6 linked regions of the Callithrix jacchus genome follow. The protein of the gene in region 3 interacts with the protein of the main gene of each other region in a biochemical or structural test. Links are inferred from orthologs where the notes say so. Each region holds a gene or a part of one and is shown on either strand. Other genes may lie near its edges.

Region 1 (5,350 bases), on a different chromosome or scaffold from region 3:
CTTGACTTTATAGTTAACACAATGACTACTGATATCAACAAAGTACTGTTTTTAGCTTATATATAGTTTCAAAATCAGTATTACTTCACAAAACAGTAAAGAAATATCACTTCTGCTGTAGAATTCTCTAAGATGAACACCAAAGCTGTGCAGCTAAAACATATTGAGAATCACATAATTTTTTAAGGCAACAGATAAAAATTTATACAATCCAGTGAAACTTATACATGTTCAGTGGAAAAGAGGATTATTCCTCTGATTCAATGAAGCATGTATCAGGTTTAGAGCAACAATACAAACCTACAAAGAAAGTTACTTCTTTTTTCAAGTTTTTAGATGATTGGGTGACACAACTAGAATCTAATTTTTTAGATGAAAATCGGTCACTTTGCAAATATACATTCTAAATGCCAAAATTACAATGAAACTTCTTTTCAAACAGTGGAATCCTGGTTTGTTGTCTTTACTGTCAGTGAGCTTATAGTTATTCTCTGTATTATTATAAATGAAGTCACCATTTAGTCACCCTAATACACATATGCTTTTTTTTTTTTTTGAGACAGAGTTTGCTCTGTCACCCAGGCTGGAGTGCAGTGGCCCAGTCTTGGCTCACTGCAGCCTTCACCTCCCAGTTTCCAGAAATTCTCCTGTCTCAGCCTCCCAAGTAGCTAGGATTACAGGCACACGCCACCACGCCTGGCTAATTCTTTTTTTTTGTATTTTTAGTAGAGACGGGGTTTCAACATATTAACCAGGCTGGTTTTGAACTCCTGACCTCAAGTGATCCACCCGCCTCGGCCTCCCAAAGTGCTTGGATTGCAGGCATGAGCCACTGCGCCCAGCCTGTACTTTTTTCTTCATAGAAGAAAACAAAACTAAAACTTCCCAAACTATGTTTAACTTATAATATATTTTATAAAGACCCCTTAGGTTAACCATTTTGGAAATCTACATTGTTCTGAAGAAAAAGATATGCTTTCAAAACACTGCCTAGCAATTCCTAATCCTTTTTCTGTTATAAAAATTAAAATTAAAAAGTTACTGCCACGGTGCTTGTGGCAATAAACAAAATGTAAAATTTATCAAAAGACTAAATTAGTTTTATGAAACATAAACATACTAAATAAATAAATACTGGATTCTTAGCACAAAAAATTATTAAAAGGTTGCTTTGAGTGTTAAAATTTGTAATATTAAATTACCTTCATATTTCAAACATTACTTTTTCTAAACCAAACCAGTTAATCAACTTTTCCTCCCCTTTGGGAACAAAAAGGATATTTAAGATATATTCCAAAACAGCAAAAACAACTTAGTGTTTGAATTCAGTTACAACAAACCCTGCTGATCCTGTGCATTTCACTGAGGTGCCACACGCACCCAAAAATCATCATCAGAAATAGAACTTGAACTTCCTGACTCAGACTCTGGCTCACTGAATCCACCTAAGTCCCATTCAGTGCTAGATTCACTTGGTATTTCTTCTTCTTCAGTGAGGAAACTCTGACCAGGTTCAAGGCAGGAAGGATAAACACGAGCAGAGAGGCAAAAAAAGTTGGAATCAAACTGCAAGAGGCCTAATGTGGTACCTATATTAATCCATTGGTCTCCCCTAATATCATATTCATACACAGTCACCCGGTTCTTTTTCCACTGTGGGGTGCGAGAGGTGACGAGCAACAATTTTTGGCCATGCTTGATAATCCGGTAGTTATTGGTCTCTGACACCAAGGGAATATTATTCATTTGCCTCCATTCTGCCCTAACTGGGTTGTAGACCTTCATGACTGGGATGTCACAGATACAATAGATCTCCTCATTGAAGACACACGCTTCCTGAAAGTCATTGCGCTTCAGAGAAACGCACTTCAGCCACATGTTGTGGCTAGGATCATAACAGAACATGCGCTTACTGTTGAGAGCATAGAGATAGTCCCGAATTACCAACAGGTCAAAGGATAAAAAAGAATGGGGCAGTGGAGCCACCAACGCCCACTGGTTTCTCTTAACATTGTAGCATTCTACTTCCTTCAATTTAACTCCAGTAATAGGGTCTCGCCCCCCCAAAATGTAAATGTAGCCATTGAGGTATGCCACATCCATGCCCTCACGACACAGCATGCGATCTGCAAGTTGGTGCCAACTATTCTGACCTGGTTTATACACCCAGAGGTCTGTCCTGGGCTGGGCAGCTAGGTAGATGTCGTGCTCTGGAGAGATACAGACAGCTAAGGTAGTGACAGTCCTAGTGTGAGCAAGACAGGTCAAAGGTGAGGGCACTTTGTAAAGGTCCCCAGAGTACGGATCACAGCAAAGAAAGGGATCTCTGGGGTGTCCAAAGAAGATCAGCATCTCCTTGGCACACATACCCAGCCTCTGAGGTGGATTTTCTGCTGCAGGTACAACAGAGTTGCTGCTGCTGCTGCTGCTGCTGCCGCCGCTGCTGCTGCTGTTTGGCACTGGCACCAGAGACTTGTACAGCAGGTCGCCATAGCGCATCTGCAGGGCCCCTTCAACAACGCCCAGGCAGTACTTCTTCACTAAGGGCTTGCTCAGCAGCCCTTCTAAGTAGTCCTGATCTTCCTCAGTGAAGTGCGTCCAGCGCACGCACTTGAAGACTTCTGCAGCACTGGGACCCCGCTCTTTGGGAGCAGCCTCCAGCCACTGCACTGCTACGTGGCACACTGTCCGCTCACTCTCCACGTCCAGACTATCCAGGCGCAGAACAGCCAGCAGCTGGGCCAGGGTCAGATCTGCTAGAGTCTCCTCCCGAATCGAACCCATGTGGCTGAGCTGCTTGAAGTTGTGAGCTATATAGGACTGGGCCTGAGATCGCAGCTTGCGATGGTCAAAGGCGTCTGCAAACTTGAGGATGGCGGTGCAGTTGGTGAGCTCCAGGCGTCGGGCTAAGAAGGAGGCACAGGCTTCCCGCACGTACTCCAGCTGCAGCATGTCCGAGGCCGCGTACAGGCGCTCCACGTTGGCCTCACTGAGCGACACACGACCCGTGTAGCAATAGTCCACCAGCACCTCGAAGGACTCGGCGTCCACGTCGTGCATGGTCACGCTGGCCTGCTGGCTCTCGTACATGCCACCTGTGAACATGCTCTTGAAGTAGGGACACGCAGCTGCCAGCACGTTGCGGTTGCAGGGGAACAGGCGACCCGTGCCGGGCCCGCTGCCGGGCGTTACCACCTCGATGGTCACATCGCACAGCAGCCGCGCGTCGTAGAAGGACTTGAGCTGGGCCAGGAGGGCTGCAGAATGGGCCGTGTCCTTTAATTCCTCTGGGCCCGTGAAAAAGGCCGAAACTGTGGGTATGTGAATCTTCTTGGGCCGCTTCCCACCGCGGGGACTGGCGAGGCGGCGAGAGCGCGGGGCGTCCTCCCGGGACTGCATGATGGAGATGGCGACGGGCGCTGAAGGCGAGAACGGCTGCAGGACCCGGCTCTGGCTCCTCCTCACCCTTCCCTCGCTGACGCTAAGGCAGCAGCGTGTCCGAAGAAGCCGGAGCACGAGCCCATTTACTGAATTCAGCCCAACCCCAAGGAGCCGCCTCCCTTTATCGTTTAGACAGTGGCTGACTCACCCGCTCTCACACCCGCGTCCCTTCTCCGCCTCTGCTCGCGTTCACAGGACCCGCTGGCTGGGAGCCTCAGACGCCGCTGCCACCGCGTGGGCGACAACACTAGGCGCCCAGGAGAACTACAGCTCCCACGATGCCTTTTGCGCCCCAAGGGCTACTGGGGCTCTCGGACCCCCGGGCCGAGACTGAAAGAGACCGCTTTGCATGTTGGGAGTAGTAGTTCGTGTAATATCGCGATCCTTCTCTGTGTTCCTTATTTTAATGACGACACTCGAGAGCGCCAATTTTCCTAGGTTGGATTTTGTGGTTCGGAAATGTGGTTTTGGTATCCAAAGTAGTCGCCTCGTTCTAGTATATATTGTTTGACTTGTCTCTGAACTGTTTCTTCTTCTTTTGTGAAATGTGAACAGGAGTATTTCATAGGATTGTGTGAAGATTAAATGAGTTGGTTATAGGACGCTCTTAATATTTGTTGGTTTGTAGAATAATTATTCGCTTCTTAGGTTGTAAAGGTTCTATAAGTTTTAACTTTTCTTCCAGCATTTATTTAAAAAAAAATGAAGCACCACTAATTTGAAATTATGAGCCTGTAGGAAAACAAAAAACAACCCCCAAAATCAGAAAACCTTGCAGCAGAGAATCCCTTTTAGGGGTGTGTGTGTGTGTTTTAATTAGTAGGTTTGAATCTTACGTTTACAGAAAAATTGAGCAGAAGGGACCGGGAGCTTCCTATATCTCTTCCCCCTTCGCAATTCCCTTATTATTAACATTTTGTATTAGTGTATGCATCCGTTAGAAGTGATTTTTTTTTTTTTTGTACATGCTGTGCCTCTCCCTGATACCAAAAGATAACTCAGTTTGTAGGATTGGTTGGCTGTTGCTGCTGAATTAGATCCCTGGCTTTTCCACCATTGCCTGTCCTTACTTGCCATGACTAAAAGGAAATCACCTCCAATCACCTGACTTTGAGACTTTCCTTCCATATCTGCATTTCAAAACCTGAAGTCCTCTCCAGCGTCTTCTCCCACTCTCCAATATTCAGTTTCCCCTTTCCCCTTTTTACCCAAAAGAAAAGACATATTTTAGAGAGTCCTCACTCTAAAATACAATGGAAGCCAGAGGCCTGGTGAGTAACTTAGCATCCTTTGAGACCCAGTGGTGCAAGCATTTCTCCCCTTGCTTGTATGAAGTTGCTGTTCCATCAGAGCGGGCTTCATTTTGAGTCATTCCCTCAACCTTTACACACCCCATGCAGTTCAGATGTTAAAAGTCACTGAGAACACCAAACACGTTTCCACTTCCGACCCACTTCCTGTGAAACCCTGCCACTGTCTTCCTCTCACATCACTGCCCACCATAGTCAAAACAAACCTCTCTTCTTCCCATTCCCTCTGAAGGACAACCTTGTGACTGTGTCACCGTCACACAGTCTCTCACATTTCCTCATCCTCACATCACCAGAACTCCTCTCAGAACTTGATATCACCTTCTTTGTAGATGGTTCTTGCCCCAGGAGTACAAATGGGGAATTTTAAGCAGGATACACTATTGCAGATTTTCAACAGCCTATTAAGATGAAATCTCCACCTAAGTTAATTCGGCCCAAATCATTGAACTCTTAAGCGCTCACTCAAACTTGCATGTTAGCACAAGATAAGGGAACTAACATTTATACAGACAGCCAGTTTACTTTTGGAATTGTACATGATTTTGGTATGCTGTGGAAAGAAAGTTTCATGACAACTGATAAGTACCCATCGGAAC
Region 2 (4,842 bases), on a different chromosome or scaffold from region 3:
ACACCCTTGGAGACACATTATTTGCAAGAAGCGGGCCAGGTGAGGGACGCCTTGGGGCTAGGTGAGACCCGTAGCTACAGACACATCTGGGGTCTGCTGGGGTCAATGGGCTATACTTGATACCATGTCCTGGGGGCCACTTGTCCATCTGAAACCTCTCCCACAGAGTCCCAAGAACTGGTGGCAGCAAGAATGTTATGATCTTCCCTGCCGCCTCCCCTCTGGACCAGCAGGCTTCTCTACAGGCAAGAAGAGAAATGCAGGCTGCCCCCGCCTCTCACAAGTGCTGTGTGCTCCTCCTACCGCATCAGCTGGTCACCACCCCAGGCATGACTCGGAGAGTCACTTCTGTTCAGGAAACAGCCTCCCACCTTGAGGGCTATCCCAGAGAGGGACACTTCCTTCGAAGGGTCAGGACCCTCCCACCCTGGGTGTTGGGGGCACTGACTCTGAAGAGGCCCCATCTTCGCAGGCCTCCTTGGAAGCTGGAGTCTGCTTCCCCAGCTAACCCTATAATAGCTGTTGGGAACAATGCCCCAAACCAGGCACCCACTAGGTCCTGCAGCAAGCTATACAAATTAAGTTTGCGTGTGCTTTCATGTACACAGGAGGGGCAAGAAACAGCCTCCATATGTTACACAGGATAATGAAGTCCTAAGGGTGGTATACACAGAAAGAAACGTCTCAGTTGCCTGAAAGCAAGTGAGGGGAAAGATTTGAAACTGCTCCAAGCAGCAGCAAGGTTTCCTTTCCAAGGAAGCTCCACAGAAAATTAACGATTATTTGATGGCAAGTCCTATTACACTTGTGGGGGGGGAAAAAAAGGGGTGTGCAACTGTTCTGCCATCACACAAATCAGCTCACAGAGGCCTGGCCTCTAGGGTGACATCGGTGGTCTCTCATGCCAATCACAACCCTGCCCTGCTCTTACTTTCAGCCTGTCCAGTTCCAGCTGGTCCCTGCCAACAGGTGCAGTGGAAGGGGAGCCGGGTGCCATGGTCAGAGGCCCGCTGCCATCGCCCTCGCTGAGCTTGATGATGACCTCATCCTTGGCTTGGATGGTCTCCATCAGCATCCCCAGCTGCTCGTTGAGCTCGCCCACTTTGCTCTTCAGCGTCCTCACTTCCTGCTGAAGACTCTCCTTCTCCAGGTTGAACCTCTCCAGCTGGCTGGTGAGGCCCAGAATGTGATCATCCTTTTGGTACAGAAGCTCAAGCGTGTCCTTTGGGACCCCCTCGCAGAGCCGGCTGCTAGTGAAATATTTGTCATACTGGGATGACCGGACTGTCTGCTGGAGCAGTCGAACAAGCTCCTGGGAGCCAAAAGGAGAATGGAGTGAAGGGTGAGGAAAGCGAGGAGAGGAGAAAAAGCACAAATCATGACATGGAGCAATTGTCAGAATTTAAGAAAATGTAGAAACTTTACTGGAAACATTTTAATACTGAACTTCCTCTTGAAGGATCTCAAAAACAGAAAAAAACATATTTACTCCATAGACTGTCTGTAGAGAACAGTAATAGGAAACAGGAAATAATGGACTTGCCCACTGTAATTAGTTAGCAATGGTGTCCAGTAAATGTTCATGGGTATTAAAAAATCTGTGCTCTGAGAGTCACTGAACTGCTGAACAGTTAAGTGTAATTAGAGCTGATTAGCTCAGGAAACTGCTGTTCATGCAGAAAGTCTTCTTAACGACTGTTAAAGAACTCTGGGCTGAAACTGTGTTTAGAGAGATTCAATCTTGGGGCAGGACTGGCTGGAGGTGCAGACAGCAACCTCCCCAGTCCTCCTTTCTTCACCCTCCTTACAAATATAAACACCTCTGAACCAATGATCAAGCACAGCAGCCACGCCTAGGATGACGGCCCTGGCAGTATGAAACCTCCAGGGAAAAGCAACTTTTGGGAAACAAAACTGTCTCTGGAAAGATTCAGGGAAACACAGATTGGCCTTCACTCCTCCCGCCCTTGGCCTGCTGATGTGGGGTAAGACAGAAGCCAGAAGAAGAAGTTACCTTCTGACTGGACAGGTCTTTCTTTAACCGTTCCAGCTCTTCCTGCTGGCTCTGGACCTGCAGTTGCATTTCAGAGGCTGGCTTCCTGATGCTGATGCTGACACTGCCACTGCCTGGTGTGCCTTCACTTGAAGGATCACCACTGCTGTGACGATTTCTGTACGACCCAATTATGTCTTTCAGAGGGCGCTTTCCTTTGTAAGGGTTACGTCCAAAATCAAAGGGGAATCCTGAGCCAGTTACTCCTACACAAAAATAAAACTGTGTTTTAAATACAAGCCACATCTTCCTTTTGGAAACTATCTTCGCAAATCATCCTCAAAGGAGTTTGGCATTCCCCACCTTGAGAACCCGAGGAGATTGATGACTCTGCCCCCACCGCATTCTAGATAGTAACCAACATGCTTCAGCCAAAGATGACTGATTCCCCCCACTGGATCCTTCCTTGGAAGACTCTATCATAGGATCACTTTTAATGGAAAACGAAGGCATACTAAGCATCCTTGGCTTCCCATTTTTGCTAGAATTAGGTATAAAGTGGAATTTCAAAATTATTTATTATTTCATGTTTAAAACATCAATATTCTCTTAATGAATTAATCTACGATTGTGGACGGGCACAGAGGCTCATTCCTGTAATCCAAGTACTTTGGGAGACCAAGGCGGGTGGATCACCTGAGGTCAAGAGTTTAAAACCAGCCTGGGCAACATGGTGAAACCCCATCTCTCCTAAAAATACAAAAATTAGCTGGGCATGTTGCCGCGTGCCTGTAATCCCAGCTACTCAGGAGGCTGAGGCAGGAGAATCACTTGAACCCAGGAGGCAGAAGTTGCAGTGAGCTGAGACTGTGCCACTGCACTGCAGCCTGGGTGACAAAGCAAGACTCCGTCTCAAAAATCAATCAATCAATCTAGAATCATAAATGACTGTTAAAAGCATCTGGCAAAAGGCTGATGGAGAAGGTTATGAATGGATCAGAATGACAACCCTAAGCCTTGATGAATCTTAATATGATAAGAGAGAAACCAGACACTGTGGTTTCAGATGCGATGCGATAGGAAGCACGCAGCACCTCCCCACCAAAACACCATTCCTGTCCAACCAGAAGTCACCCTGAATCTGGGCAGGCCTTGGCTCTCACTGCCAGTATACAGGAAAGCATGTTAAATGACCCCACAGAAAAACAATCAGCAAACCCAGATGTGCGAGACTCCTCAGCATGAAGACCTGGTTTCTTTAACAAATGTGGGAAAGGAGGGGGAACGGGAAAAAGCCACCAAAAGAGACCTAAGAAGACATCAATTAAATATAATGTGTGGGTGTTGTTTGGATCCTCACTTAAAGAAACCAACTGTAAGCAGACACTTAGGGAACAATTAAGGAATTAAATAATATTAAGGATTTATTATAACTATAAATATAGTAAGTTCTATATTTTTTAAAAAGAGTCATTATGTCTTAGAGATACATACTAAAACATTTGCAGATGCAATGGATTAATGCTTAAAATTTAAAATAATCCAGCTGACAGTGGGTGCAGGGAGGAGCAGGAACTTAGAGATGGAGAGGGAAGAAGAGAGACCACAGTTCACATTGTGGAAGCTGGATAACGAGTACACCAGAATTCGTAAGACTATTTTCTCTTCTTTTGTGTACATTCAAGTTTTTATAAAGTTTTTTAAAATCAGTATTTCATAAAGAGGATCATGACTTCCAAGTGTTCTATCTCCCAAAAAATTTTAAGAGCCATTGGATTAGACAGTCATTTATTTCTTATAACATTTATTAAATAATTTTCAAGCCTTTGTGTTTTAAGTTTCACAAAGAGAATGCAAGCCACCACCAGGCCTATGCCTCTCAAAATACCTGCTAATAAAGTGTCTCCCATATCACTAGTGAACAGACGGCAGTACAGAGAATGACAGACAACAGGAAGCGCGCTGATACCTTTGTTTCCTTCAGGGGTCGGCTTCTTCTTTTCCTCCTGCACTATGGACTCCTCTAGGTCCTTAGGGGTTGGGTCTAAAAGTTCCCACTCTTCATTGGTATAAAACACAGTCCTCCGACTATCATTATGGCCCCTCCCAGGACGGAAAGAAGACATTGAATTTCTGTTGGGAAAAACGATGTGTTATTACTAAAAACAAAAGTCAAGCAAAATGTAATCTCATGTATATAAGATTGGCAAAAATTAAAATATCTGATGATATCAAATGTTGGTGAGGATGTGAAGAAACGGGGATTCTTTTTTTTTTTGAGATGGACTCTCCCTCTTGTTGCCAGACTGGAGTGCGGTGATGCAATCTTTGCTCACTACAACCTCTGCCTCCTGGATTCGAGCAATTCTCCTGCCTCGGCCTCCCCGAGTAGGTGGGACTATAGGCATGTGCCACTGCACCCAGCTAATTTTTGTATTTTTTATTTTTAGTAGAGATGAGGTTTCACCATGTTGGCCAGGCTGGTCTCAAACTCTTTATCTCAGGTGCCTCCCAAAGTGCTGAGATTACAGGCATGAGCTACCACGCCTGGCCGAAATGAGGATTCTTATACATTGCTGGTGGGAGTACTGTTAAGTTGAAGAGGTGCCTGCCCCTAACACCCAGTATTTCCTAAAAGAATTCTTACATATGTGCACGAGGAGACACAAGCAAGAACGTTCACTGTAGCACTGTCCGTATTAGAAAAAAATGAAAAGGTACAAGAACCTAAACATTCATGAACAGGAGAATAAACTGTGACACATTAATAAAGTACTATACACAGTTAAAATGAATTCATTCATCCAGCAAATACTGATTGAGCCTACAATGTACCAGGCACTATTCTA
Region 3 (5,471 bases):
CAAAACAAGCCTGACCAACATGGTGAAACCCCATCTTTAAAAAAAAAAGAAAATATAATTATTTTTGAATCTATGGGAAGTGTAGAAAAAAAACTGAAGCAGAAAAAAAAACTGTACAAGTACTTCTAGTGGCTGTGTGATCTTCAACAGGTCATGTAACATCTCTCAACTTCAGTTTTCCAATGACGTTTTTTTTTTTTTTTGAGGCCGAGTGCCACTTTTGTCACCCAGGCTGGAGTGCAGTGGCCTGATCTAGGATCACCGCAACTTCTGCCTCCTGGGTTCAAGTGATTCTCCAGCCTCTGCCTTGGGAGTAGCAGGGAATGCAAGCGCATGCCACCATGCATGGTAATTTTTCTATTTTTTAGTAGAGATGGGTTTCGCCATGATGGCCAGGCTGGTCTGGAATTCCTGACCTCAAATGATCCACCCACCTCAGACTCCCAAAGTACTGGGATTATAGGTGTGAGCCACCGTGCCCCGCCTGAAAAGAAAACTTTCTAACACATCTTTAACAAAGTCATGGTATTGATATGATGTAAATGTAATAAAATTTTATATGAAAATGCTTCATATATTATAAAGAATTATCTAACATAATTAAGTTCGGGGAGGGTTTGAACCTTTTAAATTAAAAGAACAGATTAAAATTAGTAAAGAAACAAAAACAAAAAACAAACTTGCTTTATGTTCTGGTAGAAAAAAATCCTGAACCAGGAAGACCAGAGGGACATGATCACATTTTAAATTTAAAAGTAAAAACTGAAATAGGGTAATGTGAGTCAGAAATTAAAAGGAAAAGGCAGAAAGAGGCTAGCATTGTGGCCCAAAGGAACTCTGAGACCCAGCAGTAAGAGATTAAAAACCACAAAGGAAGACAGAAAAAAAGTGATAAATCAGATTGCAATACCTGGATGGGAGGGAGGGGCTAGGAGAGGAAGAGAAAGGGAAGGGTAATCATTAAAACCTTGGTTTCACAGAACCAAGGTTAAGTTTCCAGGAATCCCAATTCTATTCCTCAGTATGGTAGACCCCTGGGCTAGATGCTTTGCCTCTTTGGGTCTGTTTTCCTCATTTGTAAAATGTGACTCATACTCAGTAGGGTTATGAATTTTTAAGAAGACAATCTGTTCCTAACAGTTTTTTTGTATGTTGTATCTATGAAGATAATTTCAAGATCCCATCAACCCTTGCTCTCCGAAGGCACAAGTACACCTATTCTTTCCAACGTGAGCTCTGAAGAAATATTGGTGGGGGTAAGCTCTGGTTATGAGAGCAGTCAGGATACGCCATTGCTTTAATAACAATGGTCAAGTGGGAATGGGCTTTAGGAGTCATTACTATAACCCTCTTTTCTGTAAACAAGGCACTCTAGCACCACAAGATTAAGAGTTCTGCCCAAGGATGCAATGAATTCCCAGAACCAGAACCAAATCAAGGAACCTGCGTCATAACTAGAAAGAAGGTCACAGACAAAGCACTTTGAGAACAGCTCACCACTGGTTAAAACATAACCCTAGGAAAGCTGAAATCCGAGTGACAGTCTTAATGGCTTAAAAATTATCACAGAAGCAAAACATTTAACACGAAAATATGAGCAGGAAAAGAAGAGAATTCACTGAAATATTCAGAGTGAATACACATAAATCACTAAAATATTTATCTAATACTTAACAATGTAAAGTCCACAGTACATCACTAATTCTGGTTAATACAGCTATATTAGAAATTGAGATATATGGCATGGAGGTTAAGGTCTCCGAGAGCTCCACAGTCCATCAGACGGGGTGGAATTCCGGCTCAACCACAGATCAGCAACGTGAAACCTTTAGGAAGTTACTGCATTTCTTTATGCTTTGAACACTCCATCTGTAGAACCGGGATTATAATCGTGTAAGGATTAAGTGAATGATTACAGACTGATACAATAATGCTAGGGTAAACTATCAATAAAACTTGGCTGTCATTTTTAAATATCATTACTCAAAAGTAAGACTGGCATCACCAAAACTGGGCGAAACTTTCACAGCAGGTATCCAAGGTCCAGAAACCAGGAAAGTAATTCGTAAAGGATCCTTTACTGGCTAAGGGTTTTGCACATTCCTTTATAAGCTGAAAACCCTTTTGTAATTCCTGGGGAATGGAAGAGCCCTAATGACTTTTTTTTTTTTTTTTTTTTTCCTTTAAGGAAAAGAGGTACAAGAGGTTTGTACTGCTGGGCTAAGGCGCTGGCGGCTTCTGGTAGCTATAAAACCATGAATGTTAGGTAAGGATTAAAGAAGAAACCCAGAGTGGCTGTGAATCAAGAAAAGACACCAGATAACAGCAATTGTTTTACCATTATGTGACTTGTAACACTAATGTCCCCACATGAAGATCACCGTAAAATCTCCGCTACTCCATTTCCAAAATCCAACAGTTGCTGGTCCCTCTACCACTTAAAAGTCATATTCTGGCCTTCAATTTGGCATCGCAGCCTACATTAGAGAAACACCAGGCAAGTGGGCTTGGGAGGAAAAGGTTCAGAAGCCATTCGGTGCTTTTCTTGCATTCTCTCAGAATTACGGGGGGGGGGGGGGGGGGGAGGACTGGGGAAAACGCCCGGATGCTGGAAGATACCTAATTATTTTTCTCCGTTCCTCCTCACTACCTGTGCTGGTTTTAACTACTTAAGCCGGTGTCCAAAACAGAGAAAAGGAGTCTCAGTCCTGCCTTATCGCGTCCAGGTACCATGTGATCAGAAATCGATACCGGGGAAGGATAGCTGTCTCCACACATGCCCCGGAGCCTAGAACGATGAGGCAAGCGGGCTGTTGCGCAGAGAACGTGACCTTGTTTTCCAGGCCAGGACTGTCCTGTGCTCCCCCACCCCCCTGTAATTCTGAGAGAATGCAAGAAAAGCACCGAATGGCTTCTGAACCTTTTCCTCCCAAGCCCAACGATATGAGAGAGAAAGTCAACTTCATTAAAGGGGAACCAACCAAGGCAGAAATCGACCGGGGCAAACCTCACGGCAGAGCACAATGTCCCTGCGTTCTTAAAGGCAGCCAATCCATGGCCCCGACCTCACCACTCTCGCACACAGGGGCCCTATTTTGTGCACCCCTCAACCCACACACGTCTCAATACTGCTGAGTCACTGCAGACGGCGGCTCGGCTCCAAAAACGCCGTCAGCTCTAAAGTGGGATTCAGGCTGCTGGCATACAGGTTTTAAAAGCTCCGCAGTCTGGACGTCCATTGGCTCTGGCACTGAAGAGCTTTCAGGATTAAGTAATTCATGGAACCCCCCCCCCACCTTCTCCAGAGCGGCCTGGGCGCCCCAGGGCAGCCAACGCTACTCCCCGCCCCCGCCCCCGCGGGCCCTCCTGTCCCATCCCCCCACTGCTCTACACTCACGGGGACCCTGTCCGGATATTTCTTCCGAATCTTTTCTCCTTCCTTTTTCCGATACTCGAAGGGATGGTCCTCCTTGTACTGGAACTTCATAATGCACCGCAGGGCTTGCTAGATCCCCGCGCGGGGCCTGCCTCCTTCGCAGCTGACAGTTGGCCGCGTCCTGCTCCCTCCGCCGACGTCAAGGTGTACTCAGAACAGCTGCAGAAACGTCCGCTCCTGGGGCAACAGCGCTGGGCCGAGTGCGCGGTGGGGGAAAAGGAGGGGGACCTCGGGTGCGCCTGCCTGGAGGTAAAGGAGAGCCAGGTGGAGAAATACCAGCGGCTTTTTCGAAGAGCTGGAAGCACAAAAACAGCCGGGCGGAGCGTCGGCCTGTGACGTCACCCCGCGCGCCACGCCACGCCCCCGCGCGCCAGGCGCCGAAGGCGGGAGGAGGCCGACAGCTCTGCCTCACTGCTTTTGCTTTCTGGCTAACCTTGTTTAAAATCGATGTCATTGCAAACATCAAAACATTCTAGTTGTGTTTTATTTTGTAACCGTGAAATTAAATACGGTTTTAAAACAAAAAAAATATTCTAAACATGTTTTCTTCCCCCTCCACTGTTTTTGTTGGTTGGGCCCCGGAACAAATACAAAAGGCAAAAATCCAGCCTGTCTCTGCTGGTTGGGATCCACCCTCGGGGGAACAGAGGGCCAGGCCTCCTGGGATCCCTTTGGCCAATGCAGAGCTGTCCCGTGCTTGCACCGTGCCCTCTGCGCGTTCCGCTGCCGCTCCTCCGGCGCTGACGTCACTGTTTGGATCCGCGCCGTGGTTCGCTCCTGGAACAGCAACATAAACAGAGCGTGACTCAGGAATCTGAAGAGATGTCAGGTGAAGGACACGGAGCGTAATCAATGTCCAGAGGAGACGTGATGTCAGTAAGGACTACCGAGGGCTTCACGTACAATCAAATATAGAAATGATTCACTTTCTGCCATTAATCCAGAAGGAGGGCGTGTCTTCTGGAAAAGAAAGTATCAAGCAATTTAGGTGATGATCTCAGTTCCCCCACATCTTATTTCTAGTGGTTGGGTATCCCTCACGTGACTAGAAAGCGCCGCCTGGAATGCTAGTGGCAGACTGAGCATTGGGGCAGGTGCGGTGAAGCCTCGTTCTGGCTTTAACCACCGAGAGTCAAACGACAGAGGCCTTCCAACCAGTACTGTAGGCAGCGAAGGGAGTGCTGTGGAGATTGTAAAAAAGAACAGTGAAAAGGGACTGCTTTGCCCACACAAGTCGGGTGAATTCTGAAAAATGTTAGACACAGAAGCCCCATGGCCTATCTTCTTCAATCCGGGTCGCAGTGTCTCTAATTTTAAAAAACACACCCACAGGGGGCCGGGCGTGGTGGCTCACACCTGTACTCTCAGCATTCTGGGAGGCCTATACGGAGGATCGCTTGAGCTGAGGAGTTCAAGACCAGCCTGGGTACCATGGCAGAACACTGTCTCTACAAAAAAAAATACAAAAATTAGCCAGGCATGGGCACCGCTGTAGTCCCCGCTACTGGGGAATCCCTTGAAGGCTGGAGAATCCCTTGAACCCGCGAGGCGGTCACTGCACTCCAGCCTGGGGAAAGAACGAGACTTTGTCTCAAAAACAATAAATAAATAAAAATGAAACACGTACTCTGAAAGTAAAAGAAACTAAGTTACATTACTGGCACAGGAAAATGTATCATATAGTCCCACTTCCCCACGGCATCTTTCAATCCTTATGTATTAAAATCCATAAGGGCAGGGCACGGTGGCTAAAGCCTGTAATCCCAGCACTTTGGGAGGCAAGGCAGGCGGATCACCTGAGGTCAGGAGTTCGAGACCAGCCTGGCTAACACCGCGAAACCCCTTCTCTACTAAAAATACAAAAAAAAAAAAAAAAAAAAAAAATAGCTGGGCATGGTGGCAGGCGCCTTGGGAGGTAAGGCAGGAGAGAATTGCTTGAACCAAGGAGGCAGAGGTTGTAGTGAGCATAGATCATGCCTTTGCACTCCAGCCTGGACAACAAAAGTGAAACTTCATCTCAAAAATAAATAAATAA
Region 4 (4,315 bases), on a different chromosome or scaffold from region 3:
TTAGCTTTGCCACTACCAATTCAGTGATTTCTTGCCTAATTGGACTTCGTAGCCTCTGACTCCCCTTCCTTTATCTTCTCTACCGTAACCAGTTAGTAGAGAATAAAGGCAGGGCAAACAAATGCTCTTTTCCATCTCTGTCTGGCCTCTTCCTCCTTTTATGTAACCCAGGCCTATCCACTGATTTCATTCACTGTTTCAAATTTGGGGCAAATATCCCACACATAGTGCCAGAGTTGTTTGTGTTAAAATATAAAGTCAAATTCTTATATATTTATAGAAAGAAGAAGTTATTTCAAAATGTTAAAATTACAATGCAATATTAGATAGCCAATAAAAAGTGTTTTAAGTCGGCTAGGCGTGGTGGCTCACTCCTGTAATCCCAACTTTTTTTTTGAAATGGGTCTCACTGTCACCCAGGCTGGAGTGCAGTGGCACAATCTCAACTCACTGCAACCTCTGCCTCCTGGTTTCAAGTGGTTCTCCTGCCTCAGCCTCCCAAGTGGCTGGGATTACAGGTGCCTGCCACTACATCCAACTAATTTTTTGTAATTTTAGTAGAGACAAGGTTTCACCATGCTGAACAGGCTGGTCTCGAACTCCTGACCTCATGATTTGCCTGCCTCAGCCTTCCAAAGTGCTGGAATTATAGGCATGAGCCACTGTGCCCAGCCCTTGACATATTTTATACAGGCATGCAATGAGTAAAAATCTCATCAGGGTGGATGAGGTATACATCCCCTCAAGCATTTATCCTTTGTTACAAATGACCCAATTATACTCTTTTATTTATTATTAAATGCACAATTAAATTATTTTCTACTATAGTCACCCTGTTGTGCTAGCGAATGGTAGGTCTTATTCATTCTTTTTAACTATTTTTTTGTACCAATTAGTCATCGCCACCTTGTTCACTCCCCCACCCCCTACAACCTTCCCAGTCTCTGGTTTCCATCTTTCTACTCTCTGGGATTTTGTTTCGTTTTGGTTTGGTTTTGAGACAGAGTGTCACTCTTTTGCCCAGGTGGGAGTGCAGTGGCGCAATCTCAGCTCTCTGCAACCTCCACAACCCGGGTTTAAGCGATTCTCATGCTTCAGCCTCCCAAGTAGCTGGGACCACAGGCATGTACTACCACGCCTGGCTAATTTTTGTATTTTTAGTAGAGACGAGGTTTCGCCGCATTGACTAGACTGGTCTCGAACTCCTGGTCTCAAGTGATCTGCCTGCCTCAGCCTCCCAAAGTGCTGGGATTGTGGTTTGTTTGTTTGTTTAATTAGCAGGGCTAACTCATAGGTAGTGTGCCCAGAGTCAGCCAGATTATTTGTATAATTCAAAAAAATTAAAGCTATTTTCAGTGGTACTCAAAAAAGAAAGAGAATGCTTATTTACTCTTTGTACCTATGAGGGAAATTGTATATGGAAATGCAGTGTGTATAGAGCTAGGATACAGCAAAAGCAATGTCAGATATGCCACTCCACGTGTGATATGAAAAATGAACTGATAGACAAGGAATCTTCATTTCATGGCTGAACAATGAAGACATCCAGCACAGGACTTCATCTCTTGAGTTTAAAGAAACCACATTAGAAGGCTGGGTATGGTGGCTCATGCCCATAATCCCAACACTTGGGAGTTGAACTGAGAGAATCACTTGAGGCCAGGAGTTCAAGACCAGTCTGGGCAACAAGGTGAAACCCCCATCTCTATAAAATCAATTTTTTATGAGTTAGCTAGGCATGGTAGTGCACCCATGTAGTCCTGGCTACTCAGGAGACTAAAGCAAGAGGATCACTTGAGCCCAGGAGCTTAAGGCTACAGTGAGCTTGAATCATGCCACTTCACTCTGGCTTGGGTGACAGAGGGATACCCCATCTCTAAAATATAAATAAACCGGATTAGTTCCTTGTATGTGTAGGTTCTACACTAGAAAAATTTTGGTATGCCTGGAGATCCTTGTAGAGAGTAAATGAAATCAAATAAATTTTCCTTATAGGTTCAAACGGACCACAGTTGTTTACAGTTGAACAGTGGGGTACTCCTGAAAAGCTGCCAAGAGCTCATACCTGGTAAGCAGTTGTCTGGACCTTGATAGAACAAAGCCTCAGAGAGTGAGGTTCCTCTGATCGTCTAGCTACAGCAGGGCTAGTCTCCTCTGTTACTGTAGTGGCAGGTGTAGATGATGGATAAGGATGAGACTGCAACACTAACCCAACAAACAAGTGTTTTGTTACCAAGTTTGCCGGGGCTTGAAATCCAGGTAGCTGAAGATCAGAGAGGCCCATTTAAACTGAGTGATGAGTGATCAGCCTTCCCAAGGGGGGCTAGAACATTCCATTTTGGAGGTTAACATGGTAGAGGAACTCAGCCATTTGGAAGACAGGTAGAAGCAGGACTCCACAAGGAGTCGTGTGGAGCATCCATGCCCAGAGCCCAGTCCTACATCTTACTTCTAGCCCCGATGAAAAGACGTATTTTGGTGGTGTTGGAACTTACTCATCACGATTAGCAGCACTGCTGTGTGCTCTGGTGGTACTTGCTTTGTCAACGTCTTTCATAACCAGTTCCTCTGTTCTTTCAGCTTTAATCGCCTGGACTTGCCACCTTATGAATCATTTGAAGAATTATGGGATAAACTTCAGATGGCAATTGAAAACACTCAGGGTTTTGATGGAGTTGATTAGATTACAAATAACAGTCTATGGTGTTAGCCAAATCATGACTTAAAATTTTCCAGGGAACTACTAAAACCTGGCCACTGATTCTTCCCAGATCTTGAAGAAAAGCATATAAAAAGCATTTGAAGAAACAGTATGACAACTTTATTTTAATCGCTTTTAAATAATGTGTTGTATTTACACAGTTGTTCCATTCTGTCTTTAGAGTTCACACAATAGGATATAAGTCCCGTACGACTTAAATAGTGAATTTTGGCCATAACATTTACCTCTTGTATAGTATCTGCCAGGCAGTTTTTTCTTAAACTACTGAGATTATAACTGTGAAATATTTGTGATAAGTGTCATGTGTGAAGATGTTGATGCATTTTGAGATGGAAAACTGAAATTTGGAAAAAAAAATACTATTGCATAAACTACAATGTATTTAGTGCTACTCGCAGTATTTATTATTTTTGTAGACCTGCCTTATGCACCTTACCGCCTAGATTTTTGGAAAAACCTTGGAAAGTGTGTTATCTATTTTTCTAGTCAACTAACTCACAGAAAAACAGTTTACTTCTTCACTTTCAAAGTATTTGGCTTTTTGTTAATATGCAGTTTTTACTAAACAGGTGATTCATAAGACATGTGAAGCAAGTCATTTTTGCGATGGGTAAAAAGTATTAAGGCCTTTCTCTTGCCTGCATATCCTTATGATCATTGGTATAGTCATCACTTTTTCATATTTTAGTGTAGTTAGAATTCCTTCTTCAAACATTGAAGATCCACAAAGCAGTATTTCTAAATATGCCTTGAAGAACTAAATGAAGTGTATAGCACTTGCCTTTACTAGTCATTCTCTACACTTGTACAATTATGTAGTAAATGTATGTTTACAGCGTTTATTATGTTTACAGATTAAGCTAATTTCTGTAGTCGCATTTTTATATTTTTAGTATCACTCTAGTAAAAAAAAAAAACAAATGATTTGTTTAAAATAACCAAAGAGTTGATATAATGCATAATTTGTATTAAATTTATTACTGTATTTCTTATGCTTTTTGAAAATACTGTTTACTATGAAGACAATGTTTTATTACAAATCCAAAACTCTGTAGGCAAAATGCTGTAGGTTGAATCCTTCTTTAACCAAACTGAAATACATAAAGACCATGTACATGCATTCATCAAAGGTTTATTGAATGCTCTGTGCATAGTGCTGTGCTGTGCCCTGGGGTAAGGTTTGTCAGCTTCAGAGAAATCTGGCTGAGTCCTGATCCTCAAGGGACTTACAGATGTGTCAGTGAATCTGTAAAACAATCAAAAGTAGGGGTAAGCAGAAGAAGGTAAAAGGGAAATGTTCTAGATTCCAGCGCACCTGCAAAGATAAGTGTGCCAACACTGTATTTATATTTCATACTTATATTGTATCATCCTTATATTGGCATGCTTATATAGAAAATGGGTCTTAAATAGATGAAGCCTCTTTCTCAGTATGGTATCTTGGTGATTTAGGAATAATTGTAAATATATGTTATGAATCTTCTTAAATATATATATTATATATATCTTAAATATATATATTATATATATATTATATATTATATGTAATATATAATATATTTTATATATATTATATATAAACACACCCTGTGA
Region 5 (5,629 bases), on a different chromosome or scaffold from region 3:
GACACCAAGATTTCCAGACCAGGCTGGGCAACATAGTGAGACCCCATGTATCATTTTTTTAAAAATTAACTGGGCGTGGTGGCATGCATCTATAGTACTAGCTACTTGGGAGGCTGAGGCAGAAGTATTGCTTGAGCCCAGGAATTCGAGGCTGCAGTGAGCTATTATGGCGCCACTGCACTCCAAGCTGGGTAACAGAGCAAGAACCCGTCTCAAAAGATAATAAAAAAGGCTTTTTATTCCCGGCTGGTGTTCATTACAAGTGAGGAAACAATTGGCGTTACTGGCAATGACTGACTTAATTCTCTCTGGTGTAACTCAGGGACATCTAACATCTCTTTTTATTTACAGAGGAGATATTGGAGCCCAGAGGCTGACTTAATGTGTCTACCCTAGAATATTTCCAGCGGATACTCTTCAGCCAAGAGAAGAACAATTTGAAGTTATTCTCTTGTGATGTGTTATCCACACATGCATTGTAATACGGATGATTTTATTTATTTGGTTATGGTAACATAACAAACCAGCACCAGGAGCGGTCACTGTTTTTTAAATAAAAGTGATCTTTAAAAGTCTATCTGTTGCCAGTGCAGGGTGCCCAAGTTCTTGGCATTTTGAACAAAGAATTGGACAAAACTCATAAACAAAGCAAGGATAGAATGAAACAACAAAAGCAAAGATTTGTTGAAAATGAAAGTACACTCCATTGGGGCTCAAGGGCCCTGTTACAGCATTTCTAGAGGTTTAAAGACCCTCCGGAGGATTCCACTGGTTACTTGTTGTATGCCCTATGTAAATGAAGAGAATGAGGTAAAGTTACAGCCATTTGCTCGGCATACACCCTGTGGAGAGGATACTTCCTGTTAGAGCTGAGGTGTGCATCGGCCTATGTTCCCGGCCTCCAGGCCCTATTTTCCTGCCTCAAATCTCTAATACTTGGTTTTGATGATTTAGCTGTTGATCAACGCATATATTAAATAGTTTTGTAAAGCATAGACTATACTGTGTATTAATTCAAGGAACGTCAGGGCATGTATGAATGCTGAAGTCTGAGAATCATGTGCTTTTGTACAGAACAAAGTCTGTTGAAATGTTTTGAGTTAAAATTCTCCCTAAAACTTCTCTACGAAAGCAATTGCAGAGTCTGTTAACTGATTTGTAGAATGGCAGTGAAAGAGGCTGTATTTGGCCGGGCGCGGTGGCTCACGCCTGTAATCCCAGCACTTTGGGAGGCCGAGGTGGGTGGATCACGAGGTCAAGATATTGAGACCATCCTGGTCAACATGGTGAAACCCCGTCTCTACTAAAGATACAAAAACTTAGGCCGGCATGGTGGTGCATGCCTGTAATCCCAGCTACTCAGGAGGCTGAGGCAGGAGAATTGCCTGAACCCAGGAGGCGGAGGTTGCGGTGAGCCGAGATCGTGCCATTGCACTCCAGCCTGGGTAACAAGAGCTAAACTCCATCTCAAAAAAAAAAAGAAAGAGGCTGTATTATTCAATTTGAACACACTTACATTTGCAGCTTAATGAAAATACTCTTGCTCTGCAGAGATGAAATGTTAGTGAGAGCAGCAAATCATCTATTTGTATATGCTCAATTTGCATATTTGAGGCCATCTATTAATACTGCTCTTTAGGACCTCAACCTAACCATCTAAGACATTCTTGTTAAATGAGACCAATATACATCATTTAATATTGAAAATATTAATACTCTTCAGAACCTCTCAAAAAATAAAAATTAAAAATTGGAAGCTTTGTAACGTTTTGCAGTTTTAAAAAAAATACTTGGTTTCAAATTAGCGGGTGCCTCATTTATCATAAATTATAAAAGAGAATCTAACAATTATTGATTACATTCTAGGCACGGGGTAGTGATTTATTAATTATTCTTCTAATAAAAAAATACACATATTTAAGCATCCTATGTAACATATCATTCAACCCCACAAAACCCTGTAAAATATTGGCAGGGCGCAGTGGCTCACGCCTGTAATCCCAGCACTTTGAGAGGCCGAAGGAGGAGGATCATTTGAGCCCCCAGTAGTTCGAGACCAGCCTGGCAACAATAGTGAGACCTCGTTCTTCACCATCAAATCCCGGAGTATTAATTTCTACTTCTGTTAGAGCAGGCAACGAAAGGAAAGCTCGCGATATTTCACAAACTACTACTCCCAACATGCAAAGCGGTTTCCTTCCTCGGTCTTGGCCCGGCTGTCCGAGAGCCCCAGCAGGCCTCGGGGCGCGAAAGGCAACCCGGGAACCGTAGTTCTCCAGGGCGCCTAGCGGGATCGCCAGCGCGGCAGTGGGGCTTCCGCGGCTCCCAGCCAGCGGGTCCTGTGAACGCGAGCAGAGGCGGAGAAAGGGCGCGGAAGTGAGAGAGGGTGAGTCAGCCACTGTCTACGCGATAAAGGGAGGCCTCACCGCGGGGTAGGCAGAATTCAGGAGTCAGGTCCGTGCCGCAGTCTGTTCCAGGAAGCGGCTTGTGTTAGCGTCAGCGAGGGAAGGGTGAGGAGGAGCCAGAGCCGGGTCCTGCAGCCGTTCTCGCCTTCAGCGCCCGTCGCCATCTCCATCATGCAGTCCCGGGAGGACGCCCCGCGCTCTCGCCGCCTCGCCAGTCCCCGCGGTGGGAGGCGGCCCAAGAGGATTTCCAAGCCCTCGGTTTCGGCCTTTTTCACGGGCCCAGAGGAATTAAAGGACACGGCCCATTCTGCAGCCCTCCTGGCCCAGCTCAAGTCCTTCTACGACGCGCGGCTGCTGTGCGATGTGACCATCGAGGTGGTAACGCCCGGCAGCGGGCCCGGCACGGGTCGCCTCTTTTCCTGCAACCGCAACGTGCTGGCAGCTGCGTGTCCCTACTTCAAGAGCATGTTCACAGGTGGCATGTACGAGAGCCAGCAGGCCAGCGTGACCATGCACGACGTGGACGCCGAGTCCTTCGAGGTGCTGGTGGACTATTGCTACACGGGTCGTGTGTCGCTCAGTGAGGCCAACGTGCAGCGCCTGTACGCGGCCTCGGACATGCTGCAGCTGGAGTACGTGCGGGAAGCCTGTGCCTCCTTCTTAGCCCGACGCCTGGACCTGACCAACTGCACCGCCATCCTCAAGTTTGCAGACGCCTTTGACCATCACAAGCTGAGGTCTCAGGCCCAGTCCTATATAGCTCACAACTTCAAGCAGCTCAGCCGAATGGGTTCGATTCGGGAGGAGACTCTAGCAGATCTGACCCTGGCCCAGCTGCTGGCTGTTCTGCGCCTGGATAGTCTGGACGTGGAGAGTGAGCGGACAGTGTGCCACGTAGCAGTGCAGTGGCTGGAGGCTGCTCCTAAAGAGCGGGGTCCCAGTGCTGCAGAAGTCTTCAAGTGCGTGCGCTGGACGCACTTCACTGAGGAAGATCAGGACTACTTAGAAGGGCTGCTGAGCAAGTCCTTAGTGAGGAAGTACTGCCTGGGCGTTGTTGAAGGGGCCCTGCAGATGCGCTATGGCGACCTGCTGTACAAGTCTCTGGTGCCAGTGCCAAACAGCAGCAGCAGCAGCGGCAGCAGCGGCAGCAGCAGCAGCAGCAGTGGCAGCAGCAGCAGCAACAGCAGCAACAACAACTCTGTTGTACCTGCAGCAGAAAATCCACCTCAGAGGCTGGGTATGTGTGCCAAGGAGATGGTGATCTTCTTTGGACACCCCAGAGATCCGTTTCTCTGCTATGACCCTTACTCGGGGGACATTTACACAATGCCGTCACCTTTAACCAGCTTTGCTCACACTAAGACTATCACCTCCTCAGCTGTCTGTGTCTCCCCAGATCATGACATCTACCTAGCTGCCCAGCCCAGGAAAGACCTCTGGGTGTATAAACCAGCTCAGAATAGTTGGCAGCAACTTGCAGATCGCTTGCTGTGTCGCGAGGGCATGGATGTGGCATACCTCAATGGCTACATCTACATTTTGGGGGGACGAGACCCTATTACTGGAGTTAAATTGAAGGAAGTGGAATGCTACAGTGTTCAGAGAAACCAGTGGGCATTGGTGGCTCCTGTCCCTCATTCCTTCTATTCTTTTGAACTCATAGTGGTTCAGAACTATCTTTATGCTGTCAACAGTAAGCGCATGCTCTGCTATGATCCTAGCCACAATATGTGGCTAAACTGTGCTTCTCTTAAACGCAGTGACTTTCAGGAAGCGTGTGTCTTCAATGATGAAATCTATTGTATCTGTGACATCCCAGTCATGAAGGTCTACAACCCAGCTAGGGGAGAATGGAGGCGGATTAGTAATATTCCTTTGGATTCAGAAACTCACAACTACCAGATTGTCAATCATGAGCAAAAGTTGCTGCTCATCACTTCTACAACCCCACAATGGAAAAAGAACCGAGTGACAGTGTATGAGTATGATACTAGGGAAGATCAGTGGATTAATATAGGTACCATGTTAGGCCTTTTGCAGTTTGACTCTGGCTTTATTTGCCTTTGTGCTCGAGTTTATCCTTCCTGCCTCGAACCTGGTCAGAGTTTCATTACTGAGGAAGATGATGCACGGAGTGAGTCTAGTACTGAATGGGACTTAGATGGATTCAGTGAACTGGACTCTGAGTCAGGAAGTTCAAGTTCTTTTTCAGATGATGAAGTCTGGGTGCAGGTAGCACCTCAGCGAAATGCACAGGATCAGCAGGGCTCTTTGTAAATAGTATTTTGAGACACTAAGATGTTTCTACTGCTATGGAATGTATGTTAAAAAGATATCCTCTCTTTTTCTTGGGAAAAAAAGGTTGATTACGACCACAGATTTGGTTTAGAAAGGGTAACATTTTGAAATACTACAGGGTTTAAACAGTCCCTGAAACCAACCCGTTTAATAATTTACTGTGCTGAAAGTCCAAAATTAAAATATGCAAACAAGAACTATATAATTGGTTGGGATGCTTGGTAGGCTTTTTCCTGGTTCAGGTATTCATCCCACAGTGGACTGTTTTGATTAGTGGGCTTATTTTTTTTTTAATTCAGTCTTCTGTTAATTTTTAAGTTTTCTTTAGTGCCACAAAGAATTTATCTTTTAAATCTGTATAATAGAAAACTGGACTAGGGATTGTTGATGGCGTTTTGAAGGATGAGTACTTTCAAAATAATGAAAGTGGTAGATTTTCAAAATCTTAAACTAGTCAGTTCTTTATATTCTAAGTTAAATATAGTTTGTAAAATTATTTTGGTTTTCTTCTACAAAGGAAAAAAATTGGATATATGTATGTTAAGGTTACTGAATAGTGATTTCATTTTGATAATGTGCAGAATGGCCTCACAAGCACACAGAAAGTAAAAAAAAAGGATTCCACACCCTTCTAAACCAAACCAAAACAAAACACAAGGTAACTTGCTTTTTACATTTGTATTTTTAATCCATGCCCATTACACGCTTTATTGAGTCAGAGGAACAATTCCTGAACATATAATTGGGTAATGTAAATTTTTATCCATTGGTCATGGCTTGTCTTAAAATGTTTATTTGCCTCCGTAAAATATTTTGGCTGTATAGGTTTGGTGTTTGTCCTAAAGGATTCTTCAACAAAAAGTGATTTATTCATTACTGTTTTCGTGAGATAATATGGTTTAGAACATACGTATAAGCTAAAAACA
Region 6 (4,842 bases), on a different chromosome or scaffold from region 3:
ATACTGTGATATCCTACCAGCTTTCTCATATCTTAACAACCACTTTATCTCCTCTCTAACCTCTTGAGATTCAGATGTCATCTGTTTAGGGTAGGGCTCCCCAGATGACTGCTATGCAGCAAGCATGGAGAGAACACTATTCCATGATTGCTCCATTTCCTTATATTCTCTTTTCTTTCCAGAATTTCTCTCTCTTTCCAGACTGTGCCCTGTTAGTAACCACCTGAAGTGTATCTCAGCAGCATCCTTAAATTCCCTGTAGCCCCATCCTTTAAAAACACTAATTCATTAAAACCCAAACCCTGCATATCAAGGCCATAATGCACTCTACTGCGCAGCAGAGTATGCTACCACAGGAAGGCCCATAAACCAGTATTAATTACATTACAATTTCTCAATTACCAATTTTAGCTGGACCCACTACATTTTTTTTCTCTCTTGAACAGCTCTTTTCACGCCCGTACTATGCCCCCCACCAAACTACTGTAAACCTTGAAGAAACAGTAAAAGTTATTAACTTTATTAAATTTCCACACGTGAATATATATTTTGTAGTATTCTACATGACAAAATGGAAAATATGCATAATGCACTTCCCCACATACCAAAGAACAATAATAATCTGAAAAAAAGTAGTTGCATGACTGAGCTGCAAGCTAAATAAACTACAAGGCTCTTTTCAAGAACACCGATTTTACTTGAAGAATAACTGACAGAAAACTAAGGTTACACAGATGGGTATTTGACAGACATTTTCTCAAAAATGAACCAAGTGAACCCGTCATTTCAAGACAAATAAAAGGCAGTATTTGTTGCCCATGATAGAACTGTATCTGTTACATGATCTTAACAACCCCCAATACTTGCAGTTCAATACTCTAATTTGTGAGGCAGCTCACAAACACAAAAAAAGTTAAATAATGCCATCATTCAAATAGGAGATAAACTATATTATGTTTGGAAATGTACAAGGCAACACTTGATTAACTATCCAAAGAACTGGACTGTCAAAAATTGCCTATATACAAATTATGAGGAAAAAGAGAAATTTACTTGGGCGACAGCTGTCAAGAATGGGTCTATCCAGAAATAAAATCTGAGTTGAGACTTTAAAAAATGGTAGGATTTAGACTGGTTTGAAAAAAAAAAAAACAGTAAGCAAGGCATCCGAGGAAATTTGCAATATATATATATTTTTTTTCCTAAGAGAAACACTATCATCAGGTATATTTTTAACAATGTATTATGTATTCATTCAAACTCTCAGGTAATATTATCAGATCCTTAAAGGAAGGGGTCACATATTACAATTCTCTCCTCTCTGCTAGAGAAAGTAGCACAGGGTCAAATTTAACATATTGAACTATTTGGATAGAAAAATAAGATTTACACAGGGAAGAAGCAGAATGGTAATAATGGAAGTCCTAGGTTAAATCCCAGCTCTGGAACCTACCTAAGTTGCCTTGGGTAATTTAGTAACCCTCACGGACTGAAACACAAACTTGTCTACTTTGAGGATCACTCTACAAACATCCTAACTAAAATAACCACAGATAACTAATGATCAGAGAAGAAGTAAGACTCTGTGTTCCTGTTTTTGTTCTTGCTGACCTTGTTATTTTTCATTTTATTTTAAAACAATTGATGCTATTTTTATCTTTCATTTACCAAAAGGAATTTACATACACAAGGAAGATGGTACATATTGTATACGATTATATTACTCAAAGAATTCTATGCTGGGCACACTCCTGTAATCCCAGCACTTTGGGAAGCCACAGTGGGAGGATCGCTTGAGCCCAGGAGTTGGAGACTAGCCTGGGCAATGTAGCGACAACTTGTCTCTACTAACAGAAAATAGCCTGGGCAATGTAGCGACAACTTGTCTCTACTAACAGAAAATTAGTTGGGCATGATAGTGCATACCTATATCCCCAGCTACTCTGCAGGCTGAGGTGGGAAGATCACCTGAGCCCAGGAAGTTGAGGCTAGAGTGAGCCATGATCGCACTACTGCACTACAGGCAGGGTGACAGAGTAAGACCCTGTCTCAAAAGAATGAGAAAACAAAAACTCTCTTTAAAAATGCTCGCGAAGGCGAGGTCATCAGTTCAAGGCTAACCTGAGCAACCTCATAAGCTCAAACTGATTGGCAAAAAAATAAAAATAAATAAAATAAAAAAATAAAAATGTTTCAATACAACAGACAGATTTTTAAATGTTTTCCATATAATACACTATTACCTATATTATCAAAATTTAACCCACAATAGCATTATAATATCAGATGTGATTCCAATTTATTCATCTTCAGATAGCCTAAAATAATGCATTCTTCTTCTTCCTACTTACTTCAAATTCCTCCAGCCACCATGACACTATCTTCTCTTTTCTACACATACATACACTCTTCCCTTCATTTCTATATCCTTATTGAGGTAACTGCAGCCACTAGAGGGCAATAAGTATACAAAGATAAATGTACTTATCTATGATGATGAACTTATCTATATGATTCACAGAGTAATAAACCTAAAAAGTATATCATCACAAATCTTGAAACATAGGCAATTGGACTTGAATATGTAAGATATATATTTCAAACTCAAAAATTTTCCTGCAGCGATCACAGAAACATATAATGATGTTCAACAAAGGAATTCCATTTTCTGAATAAGGATTCATTAAAAAAAAAAAAGCCTAATTCCTTTACAGGTGCATAGCAATATTAGAAATTAGGATTGCTTAATATCATCCTCAGACCAAAGAGAAAGGGTAGAAAAAAAAAACCACACACACACACACACACACACACACACACACACACACACACTGAGAGAGAGAGAGAGAGAGAGAGAGAGAGAGAGAGAGAGAGAGAGAGAGATAGAGAGAGAGAGAGACAGGTATACATTACGGAGTGGGTAAGAACAGATTACTTCAAACTCTTCCACTATCACATCGAGAAGCAATAAACTGAAGAGCAAAGAGGATTTACCAACCCTTTCTTCTACTGAAAAGCAAGCAAAAACTTTACAGGTATATTTTTGGGGGTAGAACAGTGACTGTAGACATATACAGAGCCTTCACTTCTTTTCCCACAATTTAGAATGCAGAAGGAAGAGAAATTATCAGTTACTAATCTTTAAGAGATAATTTTAGCATTTTTAAAAAGAACAAATTTAAATAAACGTATTTAGTTTATATTTACTTACACTGACATTACAAAACTGCAACACTTATATAAGGCTAACATTTTTAGCAAATCATAATTTTCTTACCCTCATTGGATGTATATCAGCATAAGGAGGTTTTCCTTCAGCCATTTCTATAGAAGTAATGCCGAGGGACCAGATGTCAGCAACACAGTTATAGCCTATTTCTTGAATCACCTCAGGAGCCATCCAAAATGGAGTTCCTATTACAGTATTGCGTTTGGCCATCGTATCCTGCAATAATGTTACGTAGCCATAAATGCTACTACAAAAACACAAAGGAAATCTGTATGCCAAACATTCTTTAAGAAAAAGTCAAAACCTCCAATGCCACATATTGTATCAGAAATTGACTATATTTTGCTAAAATTTCAACCAGTTATGACATACTTAGGAATTCTGAATTCTGAAAACAACCAAGAATCCACAGGTAACTTATCTCTACTACCATCACTTAAATACAATCCTTAAAGATACTATAATGCTGAAAGCTACACAAATGAGCTGACTAGCTTCCCTTTTAGAACAGTAAAGCATTTTGATTACAAATTTTCATATTCAATTATCCTAAATTATAAATTAAATAATACTCGAATTTGGCTCGATTAGGGTTCCTTCTCCACAAAAACAAAAAAGTTACACATTTCTTTCCATTCCCCCTCAAAAAGTTATCAAAGTTTAGTTACAATCAAAGCTGAACAAATTAGCCAAGTGTTTAGAAAATTATTAAATTTAACTTACTGTTAGCTGTCCAGCCACTCCAAAATCTGCCAATTTTGCATGTCCTTCTGTATTGAGGAGAATATTTCCAGCTTTTATATCTCTGTGTATTTTTCTCATAAAGTGCAGATATTCTAGTCCTTTCAATGTAGATTTAAGAATGGTTGCAATTTCATCTTCTGTTAACTGGAAAGAAATATTTTTAAAACCATATTAAAATGCCATGTTAGATAAACTCTTACAAAAAAGCACTAGTAACAAGTATGTCGTGTGTGTGTGTGTGTGTGTGTGTGTGTAAGACACCCCACTCTGTTGCCCAGGCTACAGCACAGTTGGCGTGATGACAGCTCACTACAGCCTCATATTCCTGGGCTCAAGCCATACTCCCACCTCAGCTTCCCGAGTAGCTAGAACTACAGGCACACGCCACCCAAATAGGCTAAGTTATTTTTATTTCTGTAGAGACGTGGGCTTCGTTATGTTGCCTAGGCTGGTCTTGAACTCCTGGCTTCAAATAATTCTCCTTTCTCAGCCTCCCAAAGTGCTGGGATAATAGGTGTGACCCACCACGCCTAGCCACAAGTACTTCTTTCTAATGACCATTAAACCTCCAGGAAACCGCTAAAGGGATAAATAATCTAGAACTTCTTCTTTCCACAATATGCTTTCTTACTCTTATTAAACATTTTACTCATTAAAGGATGATTAAATTTCTCTCTTTAAGATTGTCAGTATTGGCAGGGTGTAGGAGGCCAAGGCGGGCAGATCACTTAAGGTCAGGAGTTCGAAACCAGCCTGGACAACATGGTGAAACCTCATCTCAACTAAAAATACAAAAATCAGCCAGGATGATGATGTGCATCTGTAATCCCATCTACTCAGGAGGCTGAGGCAGGACAGTCACTTGAACA

Evidence for each region.
Region 1: the proteins of GABARAPL1 (region 3) and KBTBD6 form a complex in vitro, tested with the Homo sapiens proteins (2 studies listed by BioGRID and IntAct, with this or other methods). The link is inferred for Callithrix jacchus from reciprocal best matches to the Homo sapiens genes GABARAPL1 and KBTBD6.
Region 2: the proteins of GABARAPL1 (region 3) and TBC1D2B form a complex in vitro, tested with the Homo sapiens proteins (2 studies listed by BioGRID and IntAct). The link is inferred for Callithrix jacchus from reciprocal best matches to the Homo sapiens genes GABARAPL1 and TBC1D2B.
Region 4: the proteins of GABARAPL1 (region 3) and NEDD4 form a complex in vitro, tested with the Homo sapiens proteins (2 studies listed by BioGRID and IntAct). The link is inferred for Callithrix jacchus from reciprocal best matches to the Homo sapiens genes GABARAPL1 and NEDD4.
Region 5: the proteins of GABARAPL1 (region 3) and kelch repeat and BTB domain-containing protein 7 form a complex in vitro, tested with the Homo sapiens proteins (2 studies listed by BioGRID and IntAct, with this or other methods). The link is inferred for Callithrix jacchus from reciprocal best matches to the Homo sapiens genes GABARAPL1 and KBTBD7.
Region 6: the proteins of GABARAPL1 (region 3) and STK3 form a complex in vitro, tested with the Homo sapiens proteins (2 studies listed by BioGRID and IntAct). The link is inferred for Callithrix jacchus from reciprocal best matches to the Homo sapiens genes GABARAPL1 and STK3.

Annotation. Positions count from the first base shown.
Region 1 is NC_133506.1:160,303,813-160,309,162, forward strand, and holds the start of KBTBD6 (kelch repeat and BTB domain-containing protein 6), read right to left. Parts: upstream 3,710-5,350; 5' UTR 3,400-3,709; coding exon 1,360-3,399; 3' UTR 1-1,359. UniProt on the Homo sapiens protein: As part of the CUL3(KBTBD6/7) E3 ubiquitin ligase complex functions as a substrate adapter for the RAC1 guanine exchange factor (GEF) TIAM1, mediating its 'Lys-48' ubiquitination and proteasomal degradation.
Region 2 is NC_133509.1:25,371,216-25,376,057, forward strand, and holds part of TBC1D2B (TBC1 domain family member 2B), read right to left. Parts: intron 4,127-4,842; coding exon 3,963-4,126; intron 2,260-3,962; coding exon 2,015-2,259; intron 1,313-2,014; coding exon 932-1,312; intron 1-931. UniProt on the Homo sapiens protein: GTPase-activating protein that plays a role in the early steps of endocytosis.
Region 3 is NC_133510.1:12,779,019-12,784,489, forward strand, and holds the start of GABARAPL1 (gamma-aminobutyric acid receptor-associated protein-like 1), read right to left. Parts: upstream 3,748-5,471; 5' UTR 3,488-3,747; coding exon 3,398-3,487; exon of another isoform or gene 2,957-3,397; intron 2,521-2,956; exon of another isoform or gene 2,155-2,520; intron 1-2,154. UniProt on the Homo sapiens protein: Ubiquitin-like modifier that increases cell-surface expression of kappa-type opioid receptor through facilitating anterograde intracellular trafficking of the receptor. Involved in formation of autophagosomal vacuoles.
Region 4 is NC_133509.1:43,606,913-43,611,227, reverse strand, and holds the end of NEDD4 (E3 ubiquitin-protein ligase NEDD4), read left to right. Parts: intron 1-1,995; coding exon 1,996-2,068; intron 2,069-2,580; coding exon 2,581-2,683; 3' UTR 2,684-3,228; downstream 3,229-4,315. UniProt on the Homo sapiens protein: E3 ubiquitin-protein ligase which accepts ubiquitin from an E2 ubiquitin-conjugating enzyme in the form of a thioester and then directly transfers the ubiquitin to targeted substrates. Specifically ubiquitinates 'Lys-63' in target proteins.
Region 5 is NC_133506.1:160,345,879-160,351,507, reverse strand, and holds the start of kelch repeat and BTB domain-containing protein 7, read left to right. Parts: upstream 1-2,277; 5' UTR 2,278-2,576; coding exon 2,577-4,682; 3' UTR 4,683-5,629. UniProt on the Homo sapiens protein: As part of the CUL3(KBTBD6/7) E3 ubiquitin ligase complex functions as a substrate adapter for the RAC1 guanine exchange factor (GEF) TIAM1, mediating its 'Lys-48' ubiquitination and proteasomal degradation.
Region 6 is NC_133517.1:98,134,055-98,138,896, reverse strand, and holds part of STK3 (serine/threonine-protein kinase 3), read right to left. Parts: intron 4,118-4,842; coding exon 3,953-4,117; intron 3,446-3,952; coding exon 3,278-3,445; intron 1-3,277. UniProt on the Homo sapiens protein: Stress-activated, pro-apoptotic kinase which, following caspase-cleavage, enters the nucleus and induces chromatin condensation followed by internucleosomal DNA fragmentation.